Linked DNA regions of Arabidopsis thaliana. The protein of the gene in region 2 interacts with the protein of the main gene of each other region in a pairwise test. Each region holds a gene or a part of one and is shown on either strand. Other genes may lie near its edges.

What was found.
Region 1: the proteins of CLF (region 2) and RING1 interact in a two-hybrid assay, tested with the Arabidopsis thaliana proteins (one study listed by BioGRID).

Annotation. Positions count from the first base shown.
Region 1 is NC_003076.8:3,264,261-3,269,313, reverse strand, and holds RING1 (RING/U-box superfamily protein), read right to left. Parts: upstream 1,680-5,053; 5' UTR 1,496-1,679; coding exon 590-1,495; 3' UTR 501-589; downstream 1-500. Other genes in the region: AT5G10390 (Histone superfamily protein), read left to right, coding at 1-249; AT5G10370 (helicase domain-containing protein / IBR domain-containing protein / zinc finger protein-like protein), read right to left, coding at 2,126-3,348, 3,560-5,053.
Region 2 is NC_003071.7:9,951,808-9,962,549, reverse strand, and holds CLF (SET domain-containing protein), read right to left. Parts: upstream 7,459-10,742; 5' UTR 6,981-7,458; coding exon 6,918-6,980; intron 6,641-6,917; coding exon 6,548-6,640; intron 6,464-6,547; coding exon 6,162-6,463; intron 6,058-6,161; coding exon 5,896-6,057; intron 5,759-5,895; coding exon 5,674-5,758; intron 5,537-5,673; exon of another isoform or gene 5,503-5,536; coding exon of another isoform or gene 5,479-5,502; coding exon 5,344-5,478; intron 5,244-5,343; coding exon 5,196-5,243; intron 5,124-5,195; coding exon 5,052-5,123; intron 4,971-5,051; coding exon 4,270-4,970; intron 4,169-4,269; coding exon 4,018-4,168; intron 3,919-4,017; coding exon 3,695-3,918; intron 3,616-3,694; coding exon 3,484-3,615; intron 3,359-3,483; coding exon 3,268-3,358; intron 3,169-3,267; coding exon 3,121-3,168; intron 3,018-3,120; coding exon 2,889-3,017; intron 2,795-2,888; coding exon 2,717-2,794; intron 2,628-2,716; coding exon 2,433-2,627; 3' UTR 2,164-2,432; downstream 1-2,163. Other genes in the region: AT2G23390 (acyl-CoA), read left to right, coding at 1-128, 377-498, 603-669, 879-929, 1,146-1,198, 1,365-1,575, 1,660-1,830, 1,923-1,982; AT2G23370 (cyclin delta-3), read left to right, coding at 7,532-7,634, 7,771-7,854, 7,956-8,030, 8,113-8,155, 8,233-8,290, 8,387-8,554, 8,635-8,697, 8,777-8,871 and 3 more; AT2G23360 (filament-like protein (DUF869)), read right to left, coding at 9,823-10,332, 10,422-10,470, 10,553-10,742. UniProt on the Arabidopsis thaliana protein: Polycomb group (PcG) protein. Catalytic subunit of some PcG multiprotein complex, which methylates 'Lys-27' of histone H3, leading to transcriptional repression of the affected target genes, mainly abscisic acid (ABA) responsive elements.

The DNA of each region.
Region 1 (5,053 bases), on a different chromosome or scaffold from region 2:
TATCAGAAGAGCACTGAGCTTCTGATCCGTAAGCTTCCTTTCCAGCGTCTGGTTCGTGAGATAGCTCAGGATTTCAAGACGGATCTGAGGTTTCAGAGCAGTGCTGTTGCTGCTTTACAAGAGGCTGCTGAGGCTTACCTTGTTGGTTTGTTTGAAGACACTAATCTTTGCGCCATTCACGCTAAGAGGGTCACCATCATGCCTAAGGATATCCAGCTCGCGAGGAGAATCAGAGGAGAAAGAGCTTGAAGACTGTTGTTATGGTTTATATCTTTTGATTTAGTTCGTCAATGGAACTCTATTTCTGGATTTTGATTTGCGTTTTAGTAGTAATGGGTTCTTGTAAGTGTTGAGCTTTGGCTCGTTTTAATTTTCAGTTGTTAGGTACTTTGGTTTAGTTAGCCTTGAAGTGTTCGATGAAATACCCCAACGAAACTCTCTCCTGTTTAATAGAACTTATTTTCCTTAATTTCTTTGGTTTTGCTGCTCGTTGATCATATAATATTGAAACATTGAAAGTTTCGATTTATTTCAGATACTGTATATAACACACTAGATATTACATTAAGCTTCAATGTAGTTACACCAATTAACTGGTGTTACCAGTTACGGATGGCATTTGGTTTTGTGGAATCGGTTGTTCGTTCCTTACTCTTCTTGATGATGAGAACAAGTTAGCACTGAAGCTGGTATAGAACTGTCTTCCACTTCTAGTAGCATTGTTAATACCATCGCAAAGTGATAAGCTTCCTCCAATTGAAAACGATCTTCTCACGTTTTCTACTCTTCCTGAGCCACAGTAGTTTGCCAAATCACTTTGTGCCCTTGGAAGAAAAATGTTATGGTTTCTTCTAGATCTGGAACTGTCTTGTCTTCCACGGAGGTCATTGCTCGATTCAGAATCTGGTTGATGATTCGTCTCTGTTTCTTGATGAGGTGGTTCAGTGATAAGAAGTACAGGGGCACGACATAAAGGACAGTTCTTGTGAGAGAGCAACCAAGTGTCGATGCAATTTAGATGAAAGGCATGGCTACACTTTGGTAACAGTCTCAGCGACTCGTCTTCTTCAAACTCGTTTAAGCAGACAGAGCATTCTGTGCCGTCGATTATCCCTTCTCCCTTTTTGAATCCAACGACTGTGATCGAGTTGATCGCGGAACGGTGGAGACCGACGGTTGGGATTTGCCAAACGTGATGAAAGTCGGAGAAATCTCTCTCCTCTGTTTCGTCCTCATCTTCCTGTTGGTTTGTGTCACCGGGAGTTACGCTGGCGGCTGAAATCCGCCGTTGTTGCGTGATGTGGAGGTAGAGGAAGAAGACTAGAAATAGAAAGAGTATGATTGAGCCGACGACGCAGATCGAGGTGGGGAGTAGGAGAGAGAGCTCCCTCGGTGGCGGTGGTGGTGGTGGCGGGGGAGGGTATTGCCGGAAACAAAAGCGTAAATCTTTAAACTGTAGACATGAAAGAAGCATTTTTCTGTGATTAAACGCCATTGTAGGAGTTCAGAGACGACATAAACAGAGCAAAAACAGAGGACTTTACTTTCAGACACAACTAGTAGAAAACAGAACAAGAACAGGGGAAAATGGGTATGACACACAATTCCAAGTTTTTGCTTCTGATGAAAGCAAAAAGAAATAGGACACTAAAACCCACAAAATGGGTTAGAATCTAGACAAGAGTCATGACCCAAAAAATCTTCGTGAGGAAATAAGTGGGTACACAGCCACACACATCACAATCTACAAGACTAGGAATTAGAGAGGATTTGTCCTTTTTAAGGGTTGGAAAGTGGGTGGAAATTTCCTGAAAGTGATAACGCCATTAAAGGCGATGTCTCTGTATGTTAGGAAGTAGTTTCCTTTCAACTTAGTAAACTCTCTGTAGACATTTACGCGTAATCAGTCATGTAGCGAGTCAAGTAAGTCTTTCATTTACAACAATCTTAATTTATTTGGCATCCGGTTTAGATTATGATCGGTTTTTTCAGTTGGTTAAAGAAGGTATAACTACCGAACTACACTATCTTCACATATGTACACATTAAGCATACCAGATGTTACAGAATATAGATACATAGGTCCGGTCTAGTCGGGCTGGGCAACGGGGTCCTCTGGGACACCTTACTCGACTAATCCGATTCCACCATGAATTGTCCTTAAATGGGCATAACAAGGTTCTTCTTGAGTGAAGACGTCTAAGCAGGTCCAACAAATGTGCTTTCCACACCGGCACTTCATATGGTTACACCCATCAGTCTTCTCTATCGTCGACTTGCAAATCGGACACTCCTTTACGTTCTTCCCTTTTGCCCAGTCCTTTAGCGACAAGTCCGGATTTTCCTTGAACTTTTTGTACCTTTCACAAGTGATTAACGGGTGATACTCGAGGTGACACCTTGTGCATATTTCTGAGTGACATGCTCCACAGATGAATGGCTCACCAGATTCTTGAGGTCCAGCTACACGGTAGACGGAAGGGCAATCAGGTGTGGAGCAAAACCTGAACTTTCCATCACTGGATGTTACAAAAGAGGACAAGGATGCGCTGAAGAGTTCATCGAGCTTCTCTTGTGATAAGAGGGCTCTCATATCAGCGAGTACTATTGGAGCTCCACAGTCTATGTGAGAACAAAGTATTGGGAATGCGTCAAAGTTTCTCATCGATGCCTCAAATTGCTCCAACAAACAAGCTTTGCAGAAGAGGTGTGAACATCCTTCAAGAGAGTAGCCATCATCAACTTCAGACAAGCAAATGGGGCATTCAACTTCAATCTCATCTGGTTTTTCACCCAGTGCACTCTTTTCTCGTGCAAGTTCATTGACCATCTTTTGTACTTCCTGCCTCATTTCTTTGCTCCCATGAACCTGAATAACATGGTACCGGGTGTTGAGCTTGAGATCCACACCATGCACCTTTTCTTTGATACCTTGGAGCTCCGGACCAAACCGCTTCACAACTTCCTTCATGAGGTCAGGACGGATCTCAGGACCTCGGAGGTGGATTTCAAGTTGCTTGCTCTCATGATAATCCATAAGTGCCTGAATCAGTTCTTGTTCTGCCTTGGCAATTTTCTCACTTGTTCCACAAATGCGTACTGTGAGATTGTGCCTATCTAATAGAATGTAAGTTTCTGTCTCCTGCTGGATCTTCCGCATCAGATTAATACCATCTCTGGACATAAGATGCTGCAGGACTCTACGTGTGAAGCCTGGATGGTTTATGGGTCTTCCTCTTAAGAGTTCTTCAAGTTCTCTCCGCATCTCCGCAACGGGTCTTGTTGCATAAGCAGTAATTTTAACACGATAAGCCCCGTTATGAGTTGGTTCCAGACAGCATTCACCCCCTACAAAAATATAAACAAACGTTAATGCACATCAAAATTTGGACAAGTTCACAGGAAAAATAGGACACCTAAGCTTATGCATCCTTCAAATATCCCTTACCCTACACGATTGTTCTTAATCAATATCGGAGTCAGAAGTAGACATTCAGTAAGGTTATTTGTTGACAGAAAATTAAAGAGCAAAAGATCAAATGTTGTGTAGAAATTTTACCTTTTTGTCTCTCAAACCTTGCTAATAAAACGTTCAATTGTCTTTTGACAGTGTTGTAGATAGAAGCGGAGCAGATTATGGAGCTCTGAAACAATTGTTCGCACTTTATCTTCTGCCATGGAAGACATCCAGGTAGCACCTCCCCATTTAACTCTTGCAAAGCTTTTGCAGCTTCGAAATGTAATCTCCCGTCAAACTTAATTAACGCTCGCATGAAGTAATTGTCTTCTTTTGGTTCAAAAACTTGAACTTGGACACAGTTTGGCTCTGGATTCTTTGCTGACATGCGCGCAAATATTCTCTTATGAAGCTCTTCTTCGCAAGCAGTAGGAGATGGGCACTGCACACTGTATTTTTTTCTGAATATGAAAAAATTCAGATCTCTTCTCTGCGTTCTGAATTCCAAAACATCTAAAACTTCTGCTTCCGAAAGATCTCCAAGTCCACTTATCAAGATAGAATCATTTGACTGTTGATCTCTCTGAATATGGACATAATTTGTTCCTATCTCAAGGCTGGATATATCACCAAGTATACGGTGAATATCTCCGGAAGGGCACTTAAGACATCCTCTACCACTGCTTTCCCTTCTCGGCCAACGAATCTTAGCTGTCACGGAAGAGAAATAAGGCATCTTGAAAATTCCTCCACCAGTTGACAGTGATGGAAATAATTTGAGCACTGATCCTTTGAAATAAAATTTCTGAATTTCTGTTGCCTTCATAGCAGATTCTGGAGTGAGAAAGGTTATTCTACCCCACTTCTCCTTCTCATCACAGTCTTGCTTGTTCGCAGCAAACTTGTATATAGAGCAAATAGACCCATCAATCTTCTTCTCCAGAAACGTCAGAAGCTCTCTGTCATCAACAACATCATCGCCATAATAAAGTACATCGACTGTCAGAAATCTCTGATCAACTTCAAGATGCTTTATCTGAGCACCAGATCCAAACAGTGCAATAGGTACTTGTCCCCGACCATGATATAGATACTTCTCCAAACATTCATTATGCATCCATTTCTTTTCACATTCCAATGCATCGTTCACAAGGGCTGACACTTTTTCCATGTCGAGGGGAGGCGCATACAGTCGAATCTCATTCTGATCAACATCGACTTGAATACCAATCCTTTCATCCGAACAAAGAGACCTAGCACGAGAAACAATTGAAAGCAGACTACGATTAGATTTCCCACAGAATCGTTTTAGCACAGTGCTGCTACAACCAACCACTTTTTTAATTCGGAGCCTCCGCTCATCCATCTGGGATACGTCAAAAGGTGGTGGTGGATCAAGCATATACAAAGCTTCAAAATCACACGCAGTTACACATACCAAGTACTGGTCCACAATAGATAGAAGTTCACCGAAAACAACCCAGCTTGGCTTCTGGCCAAATGCTAGCAATGAACACGATGGATGTAACTGAACTTGTTGACCAGTCAATGCCACCTCGTATCCAAGCTGATTATAGCCAGTGTACATCGCCACGT
Region 2 (10,742 bases):
ATCCTAAACTTCAGTGTTGTGTTCCTTTCACCCCAGTTACTGGTCCTAGGATTCTTATCCGTGATAATCCTTGCAAAGAGCAAGTTTTTGATGCTATTGTTTCTGCCATGACGGAATTGGCATCAAAGGTATGATCTCTATATGAAATCTATCTGTGTTATAGATAAAAACAAGACTTGGAACAGGATTAAACTTGTGATCTCATGGTATACAGAACTAAGGTTCTACTATTTATTAGCTATCCTTATTACTATAGGAACAATCTCACATTTTACTTTCTTGAAGCTGTAATGGTTCTCTTGTGTTGAGTTCTGCTTTCAACATATGCTATCTGCTGACTGCTGACAGACTAGTTGTATTCTGTGGGCTTTGGCAGTTACAAGTTTCATCTTTGCACATTACATTTCCGTCTGGAGCTGAGTGGGACAAATTGAAAGAGAAAGGCTTCTCACAAAGGATTGGAATGCAGTACCACTGGAAAAATCGTGATTATAAAAAGTAATTGAAGTTAGTTGCCAGTATATTAGTTCTTAACAATGACTGGATTGGAAGTAGTTGCTATTATATTTTGTTCATTTTTTTTTTTATCTCTAATACTTCAGTTTTGACGAGTTCTTGATGGACATGAAGCAAAGCAAAAGGAAAAATATCCGACAGGAACGCAAAAAGGTTTGTTTAGTTTCCTCTTTTCATATCATCCTCATTGTGCAATTTATTCTTGTCTCTTAAGTTTCTTTGCTCATGTGAATAGTAAAATGGAATGGTTACTCTTTTTTTCTTCCCATACAACTTTTGAATTGTGGCCTTATTTCGTTATCCGTTCCTTGTGGCGTTTTTCAAGCACGCTGCTGACTTCTAATGCTCCTTTTCTCTAGTAGATTGGTACCCAGAATTTGAAAATGAGACGGCTACAAGGAGATGATATAAAGGTATGTAACTGAACTGCCACGAGACGAATTTGTTGTAATTGATTATGCCTGGCGGTATCTTTTCATTTTAATGGCTATAAATAATCAACCATGGGATATCAATCTGCTACCAGAGGTTAGAACTGATGGCACATGCTATAAAGGACATTATGGGGCTTTTATATTAATATGTGTCTTAAAAATTTGATTCATCGTTTGTGCCTAATGTTTTTGCAGGCTAGGCACTGGGATTCCTTCTATGATTTCTACAGGAACACAACTGATAACAAGTTTAGTCTTTATCTTTGAGACATTTTTGTTTTTCTTATCATTAGTACACATTATGTGTCTTTGTGCATAATAAACATACTTACATTCAATTACCTGTCATCGTCAAGTGTATGCATTACCTGTGTTTGTCCTTTCACATGCTTAACGATTTCCGGCTAATTTTAGATGGGGCACACCTTATCTCACAAGGGATTTCTTTCACGACATGGCATCGAAGTTGGGAGACAAGGTATTGCTTGTTTTAGCTGAAGAAAACGAGGAACCTGTTGCAGGAGCATTGAATCTCATTGGAGGAGATACTCTATTTGGGAGACTATGGGGATGTCGTCCCGACTCCTATTATCCTAGTCTCCATTTTGAAGCATGCTATTACCAGGTTGGTCTTGTTGTTTCAAAGTCTCAAGAGTTTTCGCCGAGACATACTTGATTAAAACTCACAAACTGATAATGGGATTCATAGGCAATTGAAGCAGCGATAGAGCTTAATCTGAAAACGGTAGAAGCTGGAGCGCAGGGTGAGCATAAGATTCAGCGAGGCTACCTTCCCGTTAAAACATATAGTTGCCATTACATATTCGATGAAGGTTTCAGGCAAGCCATAGACGAGTTTTTAGTGCGCGAATCAAATCAGGTATGTTTTGAAGTTATGGTGTTAAAAGAGTATATAAACATAGCTATGTAATTGGATCATCGACTTAAACAATGTAACTTTGTGCATCGCAGATGGATTATGTCATCAGACTGATGCATGAAGATGGACCCTTCAAAGAGAAAATAGAATAGATGCATTTATATCTTGGTTATCGCAAACATTCTTGTATATCTTAATTCTTAGGTTTATGCGTCAATGTACATTTTAATTTGGCTGCTCATGTTCGTTTTCTGATTTGGTTTTGTTACTTTCTGATCACCAAATGTACACTGACGCCTAATTTAATTTATATAGATTGTGATGTGTGAGGAATACCACATTGATGTCAGCTCCAAAGCTCACCAAGTTTCTCATCTGTAATTTAAAAACTTTAACCCGAGTCTCAGTACAATAAAATGATAATCCAGAAATGTAAAACGAAAAAAGGAAATTTTAATCCAACGAATACAATTTTTCTTTAGACTCAGCAAAATGTATGAATTTGTTTCAATGTGTTCTTCCGTGTGGAGAGTAATGAGGATTAAAGCGTTCTTCCACCTGTAACCAAAGAATTGACAAAAAAATGGTTGTTTCTTTTGTTGCTAAGCAAGCTTCTTGGGTCTACCAACAGAAGGTGTAACATTTTCGTCTTTCTTAGAACCAGGAGCTTCAGGTTTTTTGGCCCAAGCTGGAGCTCGATCTGGCTCATACCGGTAATCGTAAAATAGTTCTTCTCCAGCCAGTATCCTCTCTTTTGCGAAGATCCCCACCCTGTGATCTCCAGCAACCATGATGACCTTGAACAGATACAAAGATTTTGAGGAAAAACAGAACATACCCATCATGCGAAAACCGTATCTTTAACTTGCACTTTTCACATTTTTACCTTTGCGTAACAGTTAGGTTCAGGAGAATGGTTGGCGAATTTCAGTTTATCTCCTTTCCTGTAAGCATCTAGCACAAACTGCAGCACAATCCAAAAACATTTTAAAATTTGAAGACAACCTAGAGACTAGAGAGAAAGAGAGTTGGGACATTTCAAAGCTGCTGAGACGTGCCTGATCGTTTAGATTGAAGAGAAAAGAGCAGTTCTCGCGATCGTATATCTTCCCGCGTTTATCTGCCTCTTTATGTGAGATCAGCTCTCCTGTGTATTCCCCAAGGTATTCATGCTTACTTACACTGTTCTGTAAGAAGGAAAAATAATTGTTCTTAAGGCAAGTTCATACTCTAAACATAGATTAATCTTTGAAGGACTTATCAGTTTAACAAATTTTGAACCTAATATACCTTTAAGAAAGCTCCCCAACCAGAAACATCAGATATTCCAAGTAAAACCTGAAATTAACATAAAAAAGAGGAGGAAATTTAGCCATTTCATGTTTAATCATTTGATTGCAGATCATAGATATTTAGTTAACAAGGCTAAGTATTTACCCTTTGTTGTTGTTTCAGGAGCAATTTCATATTCCTGCACTCATAATTATCGCCTCTTTGGCTTGGGACCCCAAGCGAACCATCCCCACCACTACACATTCAAATTCATTCAGACACAGTATAAGTGCATCTGGAACTACTAAAAAAAAAGTTGCATTTCTTGAGCATTTTCTAAGAAACCAATTAGGATGGATTTGCATCCCCAATAAGACTTACATGACCCAGCAGTTTCTACAAACATCTGGGTCACATTCCCGATCTGCAGCAAAGCATGGACACTGGCGGCTTCGACACTGACTTTTGGCACAATGACAACCTCTAAACCTATTCTTGCAGCTCTTTGGGCAACTACACAGAAAATATAGTTTGTTGGTAATGAGATTCAAAGCTAAGAAATACAGATGTGGATAATCATAGATTACATTACCCGCAGTACTTCTCGCAGCAAGTCCCGTTTAGCAAACAAGGACATTCCTTCCCACAAGCAATTTTGCAGTTACATGGATTAAACTGACGGCAGGGCTGGTCTTTCTTCTCAGTAATTCTTTTCCTAATTGAATGATATGCAGCAGACTTCCAGGTATACTTCAAGCGCCGCACTTTGCCTCTCCTACGTAGAAATCTTGACCTTCTCCTCACTTGGTTATTAACCTGGTTAGTCCAGAAACTAAAGCATTAAATCCGAAGAGAAATAAATCGATTTTATCAGGAATTTGTAAACAAAGTCAAAAAGGTTTAGTGTTAATATACCATATTTCCATTGATATCGAACTTGGAAGAGCCATCAGGATTCAATCCATCACCTCCAAAGAAGGAAGCTTTATTTTCCGAGCACGTCATGTATTGGAAGACCTCCCAACATGATTTGAAACCACTCAAAAGATTTCTAGCAATCAAGCAGCTGCAAAGAAACAAAGAATCCATATGACTATATTCCACAAATTGAAAAACCTGAAGCAGAATGATAATTTAGCAGTAGCTAAATACATCAAAATTACCCACCTATTCATTCCAAAAATCTCAACACCTTTATCAAAAAGGCTTTTCTCAAGTGGTCTCCACAACTTATTTGTAGCCAATCTTCCTCGAGATACAGTTTCACCCATAAACTCTTCTTTCCTTAGACTTTCATCACTACCCGGCGCATCAAGCTCTGACGCAACCTCATTTGACTGGCAAACAGGAACGTCATCCTTCACAGAATTATTGGAGACTTCGGCAGGAGTGCCATTCTTCCTTGACTTCCCGGAGTTCCCAGATTTTACATGCTTCTGAGAAGAGGAAGTAGCATCTTCATTATCTTTATGTTTTGCATCGCTGGGTGAACAACTTCCACTGGCGATGGAATCACTATCCGAGGCTTCTGTCTTCTTCTGCCTCTTCTGAGTCTTACGAGGAACTCGCTCAGCAACTCGGTTTTTGTTCCTCTTACGACCTACTCGTCTCCCACTACCTTTCACCTTTGGCGATGATGAAACTTTATCGGAATTGGTATCCTGCTGTAGTCCATTCTCTGAGTCACTTGTTTCTAGTGCGCACTTTTCATTAGACGATGCACTTTCACTTGGGAAGGTCTTTGGTTTTCTCCCATTAAGTTTGCTGGAGAACTTCGTGGGTGTGGTTTTAGTACCTGCACCATCTGATGAAGTGCCAGTTTTACCTTCAATGGTGCCATATCCCGGAAATCTTCCAGACTTGAGAAGCTGATAAATTGAAAACAACGCTTTTTGTTAAACCAGTCTTTCTAGGAGATGAGCTTAGCAACGAGAAAATAACAAATTTACCGTTTTATAGCAGTTTGCACCACAGGTTAAATTTTCATCTACAGGAGGACACCATGGAGCTGGTTTCTCAGCCTAAAAATCCATAAAATTAGATAAGTAACACTAAAGTTATAGTAAGATTTTTTCGGTTGGCACTAAACTCACCGGAAAAATGAGATCCTGTGAACACCCATGAAGCCGGCAATCAAATACCTGCATAGATGCATACAAAAGTTAAAAAGAGACCAATGTTTGCTCGATCATTAAGCAATAACCCATGAAACATTAGCCTGAGAAAATCAAATGGACTAACAAGGCATCTACGGCAGAACAGGTTATCGAAAGAATCTAATGCTCCTTCCATATCTTTGTTGAGAAGGGAGCTCTCTGCTTGATTATCGCCACTCTCGGATACTTCTTTTTCCTTCATAAGCACTCCATGTCTTGCCTGTATAAGATGGTCGGTGTTCATATCTCTGCAAAAAGCCAATTGGGAAAGGGCTGGAACAATACTAATTGGATTTCCTTAAACAATGCATCCCTCACTCTGTTTTGAAATCCTACAACTGAAGTGCTTGATTCTAAAGAAAATAGCACATGATAGTTCACACAAGCAATAGGCAGAGAAAAAAGTTGTTGATACCTTGATTTCACTAGTACTTCTAGACAAGAAACTTGCTAGTTCCGCCAGGACTGAGTCTGAAAGACCTAGTTGCTCAAGGGTCATGCTGAAGAAACGAAGGGAAATTTAATCCAACAATATAAGTGAGAACAAACCAGCATAACAGTTGACATAGCAGACAAGAGATTCACACTAAGAGACCAAAATGCAAGAATGATTAAACTCCTGCCATTTAATACTAACCGAATAATATAATCTTCAGGCTCCAAAAAATCTCTTTTTTCTTCTTCGTCGTCAATGGCCTCCTCTTCACTATCACTGCAGATAAGCGCTTCCCCGCCAGTTTGATCATAATAAATTCTCCTTCGACCCACTACAGACTGGTCTTCAGTCATTCTTTGATTTCTGCATCATTTCAAGAGTGATTATAACGTTAAGATACTATGCGAGGGGCTTACATTTCAACTTGAATATTTTCAAGTACTCTTGCGACATTAATGTCAACATACCTGTCCAGAAAAACCCATGTGGTATAAGGTGACAAACGTTTGATATCAGGCATTTTGATAGGACGTAAGGAAATTTTGACAGGGACACTAGATCCTTGAACCATTCCTGAACTGGCAGGTCCATCTTCTACATATCTGTTGTTATTACTTTCATCGATTCCGCTTTTCATACCTGGCGAATCTCTTTGCCTCTTAACTAAAAGATCACTGCCATCTTTACAGCTACCTCCTCGTTCCATAGAAGACCTCATAAAACTTTGAGTAATAGCAAACAAATTCTTCTTGTTTTCATCAATCCTTTTCTGGTTACAAACACATCAATTTCTAACAATCAGATTCAGAAACACATAAAACATACAAAAAAAAAACTAAACAAAAATAGCAACCTTTATTGATATACACCTATCAGCTGCAAGCTTCTTCTTTAGCGATTCTATTACTTCTGATACTTCCTTAGAAGCTGGACCTCTCTCCTCCGCCTGAAACATCAAAATGAGGTTCCTTTACACAGTGTTCAATGAGAGAAACTATCAATTGCAGCAAAAATGGTTCCTAAACGAACCCAAAAACAACTTCATATCTCACAATCCAGCAATCTCTAGATCTAAAAACGAGCATATAGAGAAGCTCAAACAAGCCATCGAGTTTCGTTCTCTTCACTCAAACTAAAGCAAATCAAAGTCAATGCCTCAATAGCACAAAGAAAAAAGTTCCATTTTTAGAAAGTAAGAAAAAAAAAAAAAACGATTGACGCACCGGAGAGTCTTTGGGTGGCTCCGATCTGGTGGCCGAAGAAGAAGGCGAAGCTTCTGACGCCATTGTCAAGAAACCAGATCGGAACCGAAACAAATGCGGGTCCGGGTTAAGATCCGGGTCGCGAAATCTGAAATGTTGGAGGAGAGAAGGAATTTGGCGGGTCGTTATAAACCCTAAAAATTTATCTTCAATTTTGTTTTTATTTTGGATCTTTTATCTTCAAATCCAAAAAAAATTTCGTTTTACTTTTAAAGAACATTGTTTACGAATTGGGAAGCGTGTAAATTAGAAACTTTTTCCAATTATTTAAAAAAAAAAAAGTTGGTGGGAAAATAGCGACGTGGCAGCTCGATTTGAATTATCTACTGTACATCTCCGGCGACGGTTTACCGGAATATCACGTAGCTCGAGACAACGAATCTACTAGAGTTCGAGACTGGTTCTATATCAACTGAACAAAACAAACACGAACGTTGCTGGGCTCTGATTTAATGGGCTCTTAAACCCTATTTGTTTGGGCTTTATTTTTTGTTTTTTTTTTCAGCAACAGCTTTTCGAAGTCTCTCTGTAATCTCATCGGACGAGAAACAGTACGGCGATCGGAAAACTCTGAGATGCATCGCGGCGCGGCGGTTTTCGGACGGAAACGTAGACTGATACTTCTCCATGGCAGCAGAAACTTCGCCAGATCCTTTTGCTCTTCTTCTTCACTATCTGGTGAGAGGGATTCACATCTTCGCTATTTCATTTGCAACTTCTGGAAGCTGTGCGATGGCTTGAGATTGGTTTATGATTCTTACGGTGCCGAATTTGAACAATCAGTGAATCGAAGTTAACGATTGATTATGTGCAGAACATGAATGTTTCATTAAGGATATAGCAAAAGCTCAGCCTCCTAAGCATCTGATGCAGCTGCTGAATATATTCACAGCTAGAGGTAAATCAATCTTACACTGACTTGCTGATCGTATTTTCGAAGTTTTTGTTTGTTAACTTGCGGAATGGTGACTTTTGCTTGTGGTAATGACATTGGATCAGGTAAATCCATAGTTTCTCCTGGTGCCAAGCAAGGCTTGTTACCTCTTACTATTCCGTTGGTGAAAATGAGCCCGGGTATGATTCTGGACTTGTACATAAGTTCTTATCTGAGGTTGTAACACTTTCATATTAAGTTTGTATGACTTTCCTTTTTCAGGTTCTTCAATTGCTCTATTACGGTGGCCAACAGCTCCTTCTAGGTTAGATCCTCCTTGCTTTTTTAATATCGTCATGTTTCTCTTCTTTTGTAGCTTATCATTGTTTGTGGTGTTTGCAGTATGGAGATGCCTGTGGTGGAAGTTCAGAAACATGGGGTTTGGTTTCTAGCTAATAATGTAATGAGTCTTTTTATAGCATTACTGATGCGTTAATTTAGGGTTATTTTTGTTGAGTGTTCATTCTCATATCTGACTTCATTGGCCAACATTCAGGTTGATCAGTTCATTCACAGAATATTGGTGGAAGAAGATGTTTCCAAACCCGAAGAATGCAGCCAAGAAATCTTCAATGCTGCTGGTGAAGCTGGGAAGAAACTTTACAGTAAGGGTGACTTTGCCAGTTCAAGACTGATGGATTTAGATGCCTATCTTTTAAGAAAGGTACATATATTGAGCCTGTTAATATCAGAATCTTTTCTGCACATGGATACTGGGATATGATTATTAGCTTTGTAATTCAGGTTGGATTGTTTCCAGATTCTCTTGAACGAAAAGTTATTCGGCATATCGAGAATGGAGACCATGTAAGGCTAGTAATTATATCTATCCTGTTGTAGTTGACGTGTTTTCTCTTTTTAAACTATCTTCACGTGCTAATACAAGGTTTCAGCTTTGGTGGCTACCGAGTTTTATACAAAGAGAGGGAACTTTCCCGGATTTGCCCGGCCATTCGCTTTCAACGCAAAAGTTTTACTGAAGTTCGTATGATCCTTTCTCATCATCCCTCTTTCTCCCTTGTGAACGACCCCCAGGTAAATGCTTACGTCCTTTCTAGAAAACTCTAAGACCTCTATATATTTTGTAGACTTGGGCGTAACTTAGAAGCGAAAGACGCAGCTAGGGGTGCTTTGAAATCTTCGTGGTGGACCTTAGGATGCAGATATGAGGTACAATTCCTTGACTATCGACAAGCAATTTTGGTAATCGAAAAGAGAAGGGAAAAAAGTGTTGAACATATGAAACGGGTTCCCAGGAAATTGCTCAAATAGCAGAGTGGGGAGAAGAGCAAATTGCGCAGTATAAGGAGAGAGTTACAGGAGAAGGAAAACAACGGGATATAGACAGGGGAAAGCCAATGGCTCAGGTTTGTTCTTTGCCTGTATTCATTATCAGATACTCATATCATGCTTATGGATACAAAGGCTTGAAACAAAACTTGTAATTCTCAGGCATCTTTGGACGAGGCTGCGTTCTTACTGAATCTAGCGTCACTTGAAGGGACATGGGACGAATCACTGGAACGGGTTGCTCAGTGCTACAAGGAAGCTGGACTTAACGACATCGCCAAGTTTGTTCTGTACAGAGATTGAGAAGTCTCTTTTAAAGGCCACAATTTGTTCTTTTGAGACCTGAGATGACATTATATCAAATGATCTTATGCATTTAGTGTCTACGTTGAAGATTTACATTAACCCTGCTAAAGATTCATTGGGTCAAGATTACTGATTGTATCCTTTCTGAGACTAAAAGTGGAATAAAGCAGAATGATCATCTTATAGAGTAATACTCTACGTGGAGATTATATATATACTGCCAAAAAAATCTAGAAAATGACAGTTTAGTTTGCATAGTTTGGGTCTTTGGGACCATATAAAGAAACAGGATTAAGGTATTAGATTATAGTCTAGATGACAGATGCCACCATCTTCTTAGTTGGCAAATGGATTAGGGACCTTCTTGCTCTTACCTTTCTTATTTCTCCCCAACAGCTTTCTCCAGAGGCTCTTAACTCCGCCGGTCTTTTTCTGAGGAACAATGGCAAAGCAGTTTGAGTCGGAGCCTTTGCTTTTGTCTGAGAGAAGAATCTGTTCTAGTGCCTCAATGGTTTCATTGTAAACAGAGCTGTTTCCTCCCTTTCCGTTTTTATCTGCTGCTTGCGGTTTCTGATCCTTGGATTCCCCGGTGTTGTGATCTTCTGCCTTCATCTGATCCAAAAGAGATGATCTCTGGCTGGTCAATCTCTTCTCTGGTTTAGTAGTCTCATGTGAAGGTTGTGCATCAGGTAGGTTGTTCGATTTGTCTGTAACGTCGTACATGAGTGTTTCTGAAAGTAAAGCTGTTTCCTTTGAGTTAGTCAATGCCTTGAGCTGCTTTCCCAGGTTTAGAATCGTCTCTTGACACTCGGCCAACTTTTCTGAAGCAGCAGCGATTTCCAATTCCTGAATCATCAAACACATAAAACAGATTGGTCTTGGACAAAAACAACTCTCAATGTAATGGTATCGATTTTCTTCTGCTTGTAACTTACGGTTCGCATGTTTTGTTTTTCCTCCAGCTTGAGCTCGTTCTCTGAAGCACTGCAACAAGAAAACCATTGGATGCATCAGAGATAAAATGTATGATTTTGCTGACATGAAGTCTTTAAGCATTCATATTTACCTCGCTGTTTTGTCATTTGCCTCTTCTTCAACCGTTTTGCGCGACAAGTTTTGATTACCAGGTTTGTCTTCAATCAACTGATCTTTGCAAGCCAAAAAGGAAACATCTTCCGTTCTAAGCTTCTCTGCTTCTGAAACCTGACGAAATATTCCAATATCAACTTCGCTTCCGCTCCGTGATTCATCCCACT